3 linked regions of the Mus musculus genome follow. Each later gene encodes a partner of the first gene's protein in a complex. Links are inferred from orthologs where the notes say so. Each region holds a gene or a part of one and is shown in the gene's direction. Other genes may lie near its edges. The genes, in order: Map2k1, Ksr2 and Ksr1.

Region 1 (3,747 bases):
AGCTGTCTTCAGATACTCCAGAAGAGGGAGTCAGATCTCGTTACAGATGGTTATGAGCCACCATGTGGTTGCTGGGATTTGAACTCAGGACCTTTGGAAGAGCAGTCGGGTGCTCTTACCCACTGAGCCATCTCATCAGCCATTTTAGTTTTTCACGACAGGGTTTCTCTGTGTAGTCCTGGCTGTCTTGGAACTCACTCTGTAGACCAGGTTAGTCTCCAACTAGGGATTTCCACCTGTTTCTGCCTACCGAGTGCTGGGATTAAAAGTGTGTGCCTGACTTTATTTTTAATGATGTTTGTGTGTGTTTGGGTATGTACACAAGAGTACATGTACCCTCAGAGGCCAGAGGCATGGTATCCACTACAGCTGGAAGTTACAGGTGGTTGTGAGCTGCCCAAACACGAATGCAGGGAACCCAACTAGAGTCCTGTTAAAGCAAGAAACACCCTCAACTTCTGCGCTAGCTGTCCAGGCTACTCCAAACTTGACTTTGCCAAAAGGCTTAGAAAACGAAAAAGAGGATATGAGATTGGATACATTTAGGTCGGCTGACCCCATTAATTAGACTTCAATCTGCTCTCAAAATAGGCTTCACTAATTTACCACCTCTGCAGCACGGAGTTCTCAGCTGTGTACCTCCATTTTAGTAGAATTAAAATAGAAAAATCATGTCAGTTTAGTTTAAGGAGTCTCTTGACAAGTTTTCTTTTATTTTGAGACTGGGTCTCACAATGTATCCCTGGCTGTGTAGACCAAGCTGGCTTCGAATGCGTACACATCAGCCTGCCTCTGCCTCTTGTACTGGAATTAAAAATGTGCACTCCTGGCTTTTGTTCAATTTAGTTTGCTCTTACTCAATTCCGCTTGGCCTCAGGACACGAAAAGGGGTCCTTTTCTTATTTATTTTGTACTTTTGTCTGGGTCAAAATGACCCAGCCCAAGGGAGGAGAAGAGTTGAGATAAATAGGCCAAGCAGCCCCACTCAAAGGCAAGATGACCTGCGTGCAAGAACCTCGTACAGCAGCCACCTGGATACCGCTGGTCAGCAGAGGGCGCCCGGAAAGCCTCCCTTTAACTCCGCCCCAAGCCAATGCGCCGCGCCTCCCGTGACGTATTTCCGCGTCATCTGCCTCTGAGGCTAGTCCCCATTGGCTGTCGGCGAAGCGACGGGGGCGGAGTCAGGCGGGCGTGAGGGAAGCGCTGCAGCCCCCGTGGGGGCGGGGCCTGCTCGTTTCCCCGCCCCTCCCTCACCCTCCAGTCCCTCACTGGGACGTCTGTGCGCGGCGTCTCGGAGCGCCGGAGCAGCGGTGGCCGCACTTTCTCCAAGCTGGGGCTGTAGCTGAGCTGTGGGTAGTGCGCAGGGAGCCGTCCGAGCCCGAGGAACCGGTGTGCTGAGGCGAGAGTTCCCGGCCGGCGAGCGCGCGCAGCTGGTTCTCCGCGTGGGTTGGGCGGAGGGTCCCAGGAGCGCGGCGTTGATCGAGCCGCCCCGACTCTGGGCAGAGCCGAGGGAGGAAGCGAGAAGCGGCCGCGCGCTCCCTGCTGAGTTGCAGGCTCTTTCCCGGCTGCAAGATGCCCAAGAAGAAGCCGACGCCCATCCAGCTGAACCCGGCCCCCGATGGCTCGGCGGTTAACGGGACCAGCTCGGCCGAGTGAGTACCGGGAGTGGCCGGGAGGCCGCCACCGCCAGGCGAGGCTTCGTCACGTACGGCCCGGCTGGCGGGGGGCGAGGAACTCCGGCCGCCGGGCTATCAGTGACTAAGCACTGATTGGGTGCCTGACTCACATCGACCGTGCACCCTACAAGTCCCGATCCCCCTCTTTCCCAACAGTGTCTGTCGTCCCTGGCCACCGACATCAATCTTCGCCCAAGAAAACGAAACCTAATGCGTCCCCCCCTAGCTATTGCCTAAAGGGCATACTCTGGGATTCTGGCCTGTAACAAGACGCAGAGCAAATTCAGGTCGCTTCTCATTAACCTTTGAGACCTCCTCGGGGTCTGAGTGTGGACTTGGGATGGGTGAGCCCCATTTACTTTTGGTGCCTGACACCTGTGGGGCCTTGTGGCCGGTTGATCGCCTGGCCAGCGGGGGCGTGTGTTCACAGATTTCCCCATGGCTTTTCCCTGGTTCACTTTGGGGACTCCCTCATCCGTGGCCTTTTTCTTGAGAAGTACCTTGCTCGAGGGAGGAGTCTCTCTTCATCTGTCCGTTCATGCAACAGTTCATCCCCTCACCGGTTATTCTCCCAGCTTTGCTTAGTTGACCGGGAGCCGGAAATTGACTTGAGGCATAAGAACGATGACCAGGGAAACAAAGCCAAAGGTTGCTCGGTATCTGCAGGGGCCAGTGTTGCTTACAGACAGATAAGAGTTTATTTCATAAGGTGGGTTTCTGAGCCCACCTGTTGGGTTTCTTCTTCATCTTTCCCTGAGGTCAGGAGACTTGAGAGGTATCTGATAAAATGAAAGTAGCTTCAGGCATTCTGTCCTTTGGAGATTATTGTAACCCCCCTCCCTCCTTTCCCTAGATTTTAATAACTCAGGACCTGTTGGTATGGTTACTGTCATTGATACCTGCAGTAGTATCAATGGCAGGGCTGGTAGTGGTGGATTTGTGTGAGCATAGCCAGATTATTAAGACTTGCTTCAAACACATCTTTTCTTTAGGTCCTTGACATTGCCCTTGACGTTGGATTTGTAACATATGTCTTTGAGCAGCATAATTAGCATTTGTTCAGTGTGTATGTACAGCAGTTTACCCCCTGTAAAACAGACTGCAAGTCCCCCTCCCCTCTTTCAAGGTAAGGTATTCTTCAGCAACTCTTTTCAGGACAAATATTTTTGTGAGACAATGGAGTGGGATGGGTAGGGTCTATATGTGTAACCCAGACTGGCATAGAATTAGCACAAGCTTTTTTTTTTTTTTTAATCATATTATTTTTAAATTTTTTTATTATTTTATTTATTTACATTCCAGTTGTTGCCCCCTTCAGTCTCCCCTCCCACAGTTCCTCATCACATTCCTCCTCCTCGCCTCTGAGAGTGCCCCCCCTTCCCTGGAACCTTAAGTCTCTTTCCAGGATTAAGCTCATTCTCTCCTCCTGAGACCAGACCAGGCAGTTCTCTGTTATATATGTGCCAGGGACCTCGGACCAGCCGGTGTATGCTCCTGGTTGGTGGCTCGGTGTTCGGGTGCTCCCTGGGGTCTGGGTTAGTTGAGACTGCAGGTCTTCCTATGGGGTTGCTCTCCCCTTCAGCTTCTTTAATTTTTTGCCTAATTCAACCATAAGGGTTCCCGACTTCAGTCCAATGGTTGGGTGTAAATTATATTATTTTTAATGATACATGTGTATGTTTGTCTGCATGGGTATGTGCACATGAGTGAGGTGCCCTTGGAGGCCAGAGCTATCAAGATTCCCTGGATTCGTTGGAGCTAGTTGTGAGCCATGAGTGCTGGAAACTGAACTGTAGTCCCCTGTCACCTGCAGAAACAGTAAGGGCTCTTAAGTTTTCAAACTGCTGGGCCATCTTTCCAACCCTTAGGATAAGTTTTGTTCACTCTAGATTCTTGTCAAAGGTTAGGGCCCTATCTACCTTCAGATCTTTGATTTTGCAAGTGGAGATAGATACCTGTTGTCATGCTCTTGTTCTTTTTGACGTTGTAACTGTACTCCTTTAAAGGAAAGGTAGCTTTCATGTAAAGAACTGACTAGGGTGCCAGAGGAATAGCTCTGTAAAAGCGCTTG
Region 2 (3,647 bases), on another chromosome or scaffold:
GGAGACCTTCTGGGCTTTCCCAACAGCCTGTTGCTGTTGTCCCTGCTCAGCTTATGTTTGGGCAGCACGATTAGGAGCCAGGGAGATAATTCAGCAAGTTTCAGGCCATCTCGGGCTACATAGTTTTGAGCACTGTTGCCCTCGCAGAAATCTAGAGTTTGGTTCCCAGCACCCCGGCAGCTCACAGATGTAACTCCAGAATCTCTGATGGCCTCTTCTGGCCTCCACAGGCACTCACAAGTCACGTGGCTATATAACCCCACACACTCTTAACTAAAAAATAAAACAAAAGTTTAAATAGAATAAAGTTGCCCATGAAGACATGAGTTAACACAGTCCTTGATCAGGCAAGAGAATGCCAAAGTGCTTTGTGTTCCTGAAAGAAAGGCCCGGAAGTCTCCTTGGGGAGCAGGAGCTGGGCAGGGGTGGTGGTGACAGTGACATCATTTCCTGGGATTATTGAGATGTTCCCTGAAGTGAGAGACTTGCTTCTCAGGGAATGGAAACTATTGGCCACAGTATGGCTCAGTGACATGCCAGCTTCCCCAAGTTCATCCACCACCATGTTCACCATGCTCGCCTCATTTACATACCATCCAGCCATCACCCCGACCACATTCAAGTTCTCTGTCAGCATCCTTTCTCCTGTTATTGCATTGCTGTGAGTTAGGGGGCATGTGGCCTGGCAAATATCCATGGAGCAATCCTGGCACCGTGTGCCCTGATGCTTGGTGTTCCTCAGAGACACCCTTCCATAGGCACAGAGAGAAAGGGTGGGGCTAGCACAGCATCATCCCGGTAGCATAGACTATGGCCAGTCTGCATCACACACTATGATTCATCTTTACAGCGCACAGGTATGAAAGTAAGCTCCCGTCCCACTACTTCTCAGCATGTTGCCGCCTTTCATGATCCTCCCCGATCCACGCATATAAAAGACCCCCATATGTATTCCTCATCCCATTTCTTACACTTAGAGTGATCTATTGAGAAAATTTTATGTCAGGTACTATGGTGCTGTTTCACTTAAAAGAGTTACTTACCATCATACATACATCTGCTGACGACTACAGAGATGTTATACCATTTCCAGCTTTTTCAGTGTTACATATTAGATGGTAGAGAACAACCTCAAGAGTAAAGTATTCAAATATAGGGTTTTTTTTCCAAGTATAGAATTTTAATATATAATTGCGAGTGGCCACCGCACTGTGTTAAATTATTCAGGTCCAGTTTGTATCCATCCCGGCATCAAAATAGGTATTCTGAAACAACAAGCCTAATGTCTAACTTCAAGAGGGTTTTAAACAAATTGTCAACCCCCTTGAGAAGAGACTGCAGAGGGAAATGGCCAGCCAGGATGCTGCCCCTGTTGGTGCAGTGGGTGACGAAAGGGGCTCCAGGGTCACAACTGACACACTGTCCTGCAGCAATGCCTCATTAACTGTATCCACTGTCTGACAGCACCATCTGGTATGAGCTCCACGCCAGGGAGTGGCCATTCAAGACCCAACCAGCAGAGGCAATCATTTGGCAGATGGGCACGGGAATGAAGCCCAACCTCAGCCAGATTGGCATGGGAAAAGAAATCTCGGTAAGTCCCTATGAGAGGCAGGGTCTGGGGACACGGAGAGAGGCCACTGACACAGTCCTGAGATTTCCTGGTCTCGGGTATGAAGGTTATAGACACTTTCCCAGAGAGTGGCTAAGAAAGTGACCTGCTTGGAGCTTAAAGGGCAAATTCTCAGCACTATGCCTGCAATTCCAAGTGGCTGCCACCAGGGGCGCAATAACACTTGCTCGCCCTCTTGGCAATGGATTGCTGCTTCAGATAAAACCAAAATAGACCACCTGGTCTGTTACTTTTTAAAACAAAATTCATTAAAAGATCACAAACAGTACTAGCACTCACTTTTCCTTGCATCTCATAATAGTCTGAAACCATTATCTAACTCGAAGTATACTAGACAGAAATCAAGAAGTCTGATTGTAAGTCTGATTGATCTTCCTTTTAGACACAATGGGGGAGAACCAATAAGTCAGGGAAGCAGTAATTACCCCAGGTGTTTGTCAGGACCGCCTACCTCCAGGTTCCTCTTGCTGAGCAAGGAGATGGTGGAAATTAGCTTTTCTCCTCTGTATTTTTGAAGGACACCCACTAATCTAGTGGGATGTAGCTAGCGACTGTAGGATTCCTTCTATCCCTTGCTCAAGAAAAATACCAAGGAAACTCCCTGAAGCTATTACTGGTCTTGACAGGTCTCTGGCCTTCTAGCACGGAGCCTCCCCGGCTTATTAAAGGGTCTTACAAAGTATATGAGAAGAGGGCAAGGAGAGAGTGTCAGTGGGATATGGTGAGTGGGTGGATGAAAGAGGGTAGATGAAGAGAAATAAGGGAAATGATATAAAGGAATGGTTATGCAGATTCATGCTTTGTGGACCGAGAGATGGATGAATGGGTGGGTGGGATGTTGTGTGGATGAACGGTGGGTGGTAAGTGGACAGAGAGATGAGAGAGTGTACATAACTTGTGTGTGGATGAATAAATGGAGGGATAGATGATGAATGAGGATGGCTGAGTTCATAGGGATGGATGGGTGTATGTTGTGAATGGGTAGATGGTAGTGTGAATGGGTGATGGGTGAATAGATAATGGATACTAGAAGAAGAATGAATGGATGAGTTGATGGATGGATGGGTAGATGATGAGTAGACTGATGGGTGGCTGGGTGGTGGGATGGCTGTGTACATGAATGGATAGGTAGATGGTGGCTAGTGAGTGGATGCATGGGTGGATAGATAGATGGATGGTAGGGGTGGCTGTGTATATGAATGGGTAGGTGGGTGGTGGTTAGTGAATGGATAGATTGATAGATGGATGGGTGAATGGGTGGGTGGATGGATCGATGGATAGATGGATGGATAGATGGATGGATGGATGGATGGATGGATAGATGAATACATGGATAGATGGGTGGATGGAAGGATGGATGGATGGATAGATAGATACATGGATAGATGAATGGATGGATGGATAGATAGATGCATGGATGGATGGATGGATGGGTGTGATGGCTGTATACATGAGTGAGCAGATGGCTGGTGGCTGGTGATTGAGTGGATGGATAGAGTGGCTGGGTGGGATAGCTATGTTTATGAGTAGGTAGATTGATCAGTGGGTAGAAGGGCGGTTAATGGAGAGATGTGAAGTGGACCAGGTGGATGGACACCTGGCTGACCCAGAGCCATGCCCAGAAGCTGAGACTTAGACAAGGACTCAGGAAAGTCACCACTTAGATCCAGTCACGACTCTCTGGTCTCTTCTAGGACATACTGCTCTTCTGCTGGGCCTTCGAGCAGGAAGAGCGGCCCACCTTTACCAAGCTCATGGACATGCTAGAGAAACTGCCAAAGCGAAACCGCCGCCTGTCGCACCCCGGACATTTCTGGAAGTCTGCAGAGTATGTGTTTACCTCAGCCCCCTCCCCAGCTGGATTGCCCATTGATCTTTGTCTCCTTTTTTGATCCTCTCCCTCAACCCTTCCCTGAGCTGGCCTCACCCACTCTGTGCACCCAGCACCCAGTCACCACACTTGTCTACCAGCATCTGTCTGTCCAGGGGAGCCTATTTTGACATTGAGGTCCCC
Region 3 (3,747 bases), on another chromosome or scaffold:
CTTGGTGCTCACAGAGGTTAGAAGGCATCAGAATCCCTAGAACTGGAGTTACAAATGGCTGTGATCCATCACACGGATGCAGGGCACAGAACTCCTCATCCTTTGCAGGAGCGAGCGCTCCTAACTGCTGAGCTATCTGTCTAACCCAACACTGTTTTTGAGGCAAGACCTCACTATATATGTAGCCCAAGCTGGTCTTGAATTCACTATTTGACCAGATTGGTCTTGAACTCACAGAGATCCTCCTGCCTCTGCCTCTGGAGTGCTGGGATTAAAAGTGTGTACACTTGACTTCAGTTTTTACTTCTTTTTTCGAGACAGGGTTTCTCTGTGTAGCCCTGGCTGTCTTGGAACTTGCTCTGTAGACCAGGCTGGCCTGGAACTCACAGAGATTCTCCTGCCTCTGCTTCCAGAGTGCCACTGCCACCTGGCTCATTTTCACTTCATTTTTATTGCTAGAACATGTGAGGTGGACTGATGGGAGAGGAGAATGAGCAGGTGTGGTAAAGCTTAAATTAGGGCAGACTGGGAAACACCACTGCTAAGACCACTGACTGCTGAGGCTCAGGGTCTCATCTAGATAGTGTGAAGTTAGAAAGGAGCTAGCATGTATACTTGATCGCACATGCCAGCAGTTAATATGGGTGCTGTTAGAAACATAACTTTTTTAAAGAAACCCTCTAGACTAGATGGCTATGACTACCCTATTTGATGTGAAGGGGAAACTTGGGCACTCAGAGGAAAGCTATTTGTCCAAGTTCACATACTGGGTAGACCCAGGTTCTCTCTGGCTCGAAACTCTTAGAACTGTTCAACAAATTAATATTTTGCCCATGTGGCATCTACAGGGTATGGGGGGCACTAAATTTATTTTGTTGAGTAAATAGAACACAGAAGAAAGTCCTTTCTCCTTGCCTGCACAGTAACTTTGGTGTGACAATTCAGGGTCAAGCTCTATGTGAACACAAACACAGCCTCGTCGGGTGTTGTGAGATTTTGATGAAGGTGGGTGTTTCTTTTTCTTTTCTTTTGATAGTGTTGGGGAATCAAACCTAGGGCTTTGTGTTTGCCTGGCAAATGTTCTGCCGCTGAGCTACACTTTTAGCGCATTCCCATACATGGTAACCCCTAAACTCATACAAAAATTTTAGGACCCTCAATATCCTACAAGACAGGGGTTATCTGGGTCTGAGCCATCAGCCCCTTCCCCACCCCATTCGCCAGTCTCGGAAAGCTACTGATGTGTGTGCGCTTGCGTGTGTGAGAAGGGTGTAGTAGTGGGAGATGGGGGTAAAGGAATCAAACTCCCTAGACCACGACGCGCACGAATTGGAGCAGGCGCAGAGCAGCCCCTTCTAGACGTCAGGCGGGGCCGAAGTGCGGGCGGGGCCCCGAGGGCGCGGGCCAGAAAGCAGATGCGATGCGCGGACTACAAGTCCCAGAATGCGTCGCGGCCCCGATCCGGCCCCCGCTGTCGCTTAAAGGCTCCAACAACCACAGCCGTCGGGTAGTGGAGGCTTTCGCTTTGCCGCCGCGTCTGGGCGGGAGGAGGAGCGGACTGGGCAGCAGGCTTTCGGGACTGCAGGCTTAGGCGGCGCCAAGGGGCGCTCCTAGTGCAGCCTTCCTGGCTCGGGGCTTTCCTGCCGAGGCGCCCGTGTCCCCGGGCTCCTCGCCTCGGCCCCCAGCGGCCCCGATGCCGAGGCATGGATAGAGCGGCGTTGCGCGCGGCAGCGATGGGCGAGAAAAAGGAGGGCGGCGGCGGGGGCGCCGCGGCGGACGGGGGCGCAGGGGCCGCCGTCAGCCGGGCGCTGCAGCAGTGCGGCCAGCTGCAGAAGCTCATCGATATCTCCATCGGCAGTCTGCGCGGGCTGCGCACCAAGTGCTCAGTGTCTAACGACCTCACACAGCAGGAGATCCGGACCCTAGAGGTAAGGGGCCGTTGCGCCCCACGTCCGGACCCGGCGGTGGCCCGGGAGCCGCCCCACTGCTTTCCTTCCCGAGTTGCATCCTGCAGCGGGGTTGCTGGCTGGAGTCTTCCTCCCTTTCCCGAGCTCTCTGATGCGGCAGCGTGAGGACCTACGACCAGCTCTCACTTTGGAAGAATTTAGGGGAGGGGGGTGTTAGCGTGGAACTGGATCGAGTCTCGAAGACCAGCGTGCCGAGTAGGATGCACAGGGCACCCCACTGCAAACCCCTTTCCGCCTTCACCCTATTTCCAGTGCCCACAGTAGTCATTGTCCCACTGAATCACGCGCCGGTCTTTTCTCCGTGTGCTTTAAGTCCGGTAGCGTGGGCTGGGGCGATGTGGGGGACGTCCCTTGAAGTGTGAGCGTCGATCGATCGGTGGCACTGACTTTCCCCTCACTCCCCACTCTCCTTGTTGTCCGTTTCTTTCCTTTCCACCAGGTCTCTGCCGCTTTTCAAAAAGTGTTTGCTGAAACAGCATTTTTGCTGTTCAGGCGTTGGGGTGCTTGTCTTTGGAGATGTCACAGCGGTTCACTGCTTAAAATGAAATTACCCTTTGACTTCCCTACTCCACCCCAAACACTGAGCTTTGGCCTAGGAAGGATTATACTGGGGAAGGGAACCTTTGGTAAGAACAGGCTACTTAAGGGGGTTGCTGACAGAGATAACCTGGAGTGCAATGAGGAAACAAGATGTGTGAGCTCTCTTCTCTCAAATTATACAGTTGGGAAGTGCAGCATTAAAACGATTTGGAAGAACCAGCCAGAAAGGTGGTTGGCATTTCAGAAGGGGACGCTCCCCCACCCCCTTACACATTGGGGGGGAAACTAGTGCCTTCCCAACTTGCTTTTGCCCAGAGACTGGAAGACCTTTGAAAGTGAAGGGGTTATTTAGTAACTCTTTCCCTAAGAAGGGCCTTTCCCTGGCATTGCCACATTTGGTTTCTGTAGGTCTGAGGATGTCTTGTTAGATACATAATACCCTTTCTCTCTCCTCTCTCTCTCTCTCTCTCTCTCTCTCTCTCTCTCACACACACACACACACACACACACACACAATTGCTAATTGCATCTGCCAGCTGTCCTAGAGCCAGCTGATGATTGCTGTAATTATTACAAGACCAGCCCTCCCTCCTCTCGCACCACAAGCCTGAATCCTTGTTTGATCCAAAATGCTCAGGGTGACTCTCCCTTAGTTGTATTTTCATAAAAGCCATGAAGCCAGGGACATTGGGAGACTCCAAACAGTGCTGGCTATTATTATTGTTTTTTTGTTACAGTTGCTATAGCAGGACTGACCTGGGGTTTGCCTTAAAAACAAACCAACAAAACCCTGCACTGGGAGTCTCTGCATGTGGATTTCTTGAACACAGCTGAGTGTGTGTGTCCAGCAAAGTTCACTTTTTAGGCTGATACAATAGGAGGCCTGTGTGTCATAGTTCTGGGCTCGTTGTCCTGCCATGTATATCTGTTGAGTTGCTATGTTGTTGGGCTGTTGAATGTTCTGGGTTGGCCTTTGTAGTTCCTCCCCAGGTCCCTTTGAGGTGCTCCTGGGTCCCTGGTTGTATGTAGAATGGCTTATTCTTTATTCTCTGCAAATTCTCTTTGTCCTCTGAGATTGCACATCTTGACAAAGTTGTGACATCAGATACCCCAGAGTCTCCAGCTGTTCAGGCCTCTGAGCTGGTTAGGCAGTAGCCTCCCTACTGGGTGCATTTTGAGGTCATCTCTTGTGGCTTCTGAAGGCCCAAGGGCCATTTGCAGTGTGAACAAGACACATGCC

The links.
Region 2: the proteins of Map2k1 (region 1) and Ksr2 are in contact, whole or in part, in a crystal structure (PDB 7UMB), measured with the Homo sapiens proteins. The link is inferred for Mus musculus from reciprocal best matches to the Homo sapiens genes MAP2K1 and KSR2. Residues at the interface, in NP_002746.1 of Homo sapiens: Val81, Glu102, Met219, Ala220, Asn221, Ser222, Phe223, Val224, Gly225, Thr226, Arg227, Ser228, Met230, Arg234, Leu235, Gln236, Gly237, Met308, Ala309, Ile310, Phe311, Glu312, Leu314, Asp315, Val318, Asn319; in NP_775869.4 of Homo sapiens: Lys674, Arg818, Asp820, Lys821, Leu822, Arg823, Ile824, Gln825, Asn826, Ile837, Arg838, Gln839, Leu840, Ser841, Pro842, Gln877, Pro878, Ala879, Glu880, Ala881, Ile883, Trp884, Gln885, Gly887, Thr888, Met890.
Region 3: the proteins of Map2k1 (region 1) and Ksr1 are in contact, whole or in part, in a crystal structure (PDB 9AXH), measured with the Homo sapiens proteins. The link is inferred for Mus musculus from reciprocal best matches to the Homo sapiens genes MAP2K1 and KSR1. Residues at the interface, in NP_002746.1 of Homo sapiens: Asp217, Ala220, Asn221, Ser222, Phe223, Val224, Gly225, Thr226, Arg227, Ser228, Met230, Arg234, Leu235, Gln236, Gly237, Met308, Ala309, Ile310, Phe311, Leu314, Asp315, Val318, Asn319; in XP_011523731.1 of Homo sapiens: Asn767, Gln768, Leu769, Lys770, Leu771, Ser772, His773, Leu776, Val784, Arg785, Met787, Thr788, Pro789, Asn823, Gln824, Ala825, Ala826, Glu827, Ala828, Ser829, Ile830, Trp831, Gln832, Gly834, Ser835.

The regions. Positions count from the first base shown.
Region 1 is NC_000075.6:64,251,118-64,254,864, reverse strand, and holds the start of Map2k1 (dual specificity mitogen-activated protein kinase kinase 1), read left to right. Parts: upstream 1-1,259; 5' UTR 1,260-1,572; coding exon 1,573-1,652; intron 1,653-3,747. UniProt on the Homo sapiens protein: Dual specificity protein kinase which acts as an essential component of the MAP kinase signal transduction pathway.
Region 2 is NC_000071.6:117,759,860-117,763,506, forward strand, and holds part of Ksr2 (kinase suppressor of Ras 2), read left to right. Parts: intron 1-1,464; coding exon 1,465-1,594; intron 1,595-3,327; coding exon 3,328-3,461; intron 3,462-3,647. UniProt on the Homo sapiens protein: Location-regulated scaffold connecting MEK to RAF. Has very low protein kinase activity and can phosphorylate MAP2K1 at several Ser and Thr residues with very low efficiency (in vitro).
Region 3 is NC_000077.6:79,144,236-79,147,982, reverse strand, and holds the start of Ksr1 (kinase suppressor of Ras 1), read left to right. Parts: upstream 1-1,509; 5' UTR 1,510-1,703; coding exon 1,704-1,928; intron 1,929-3,747.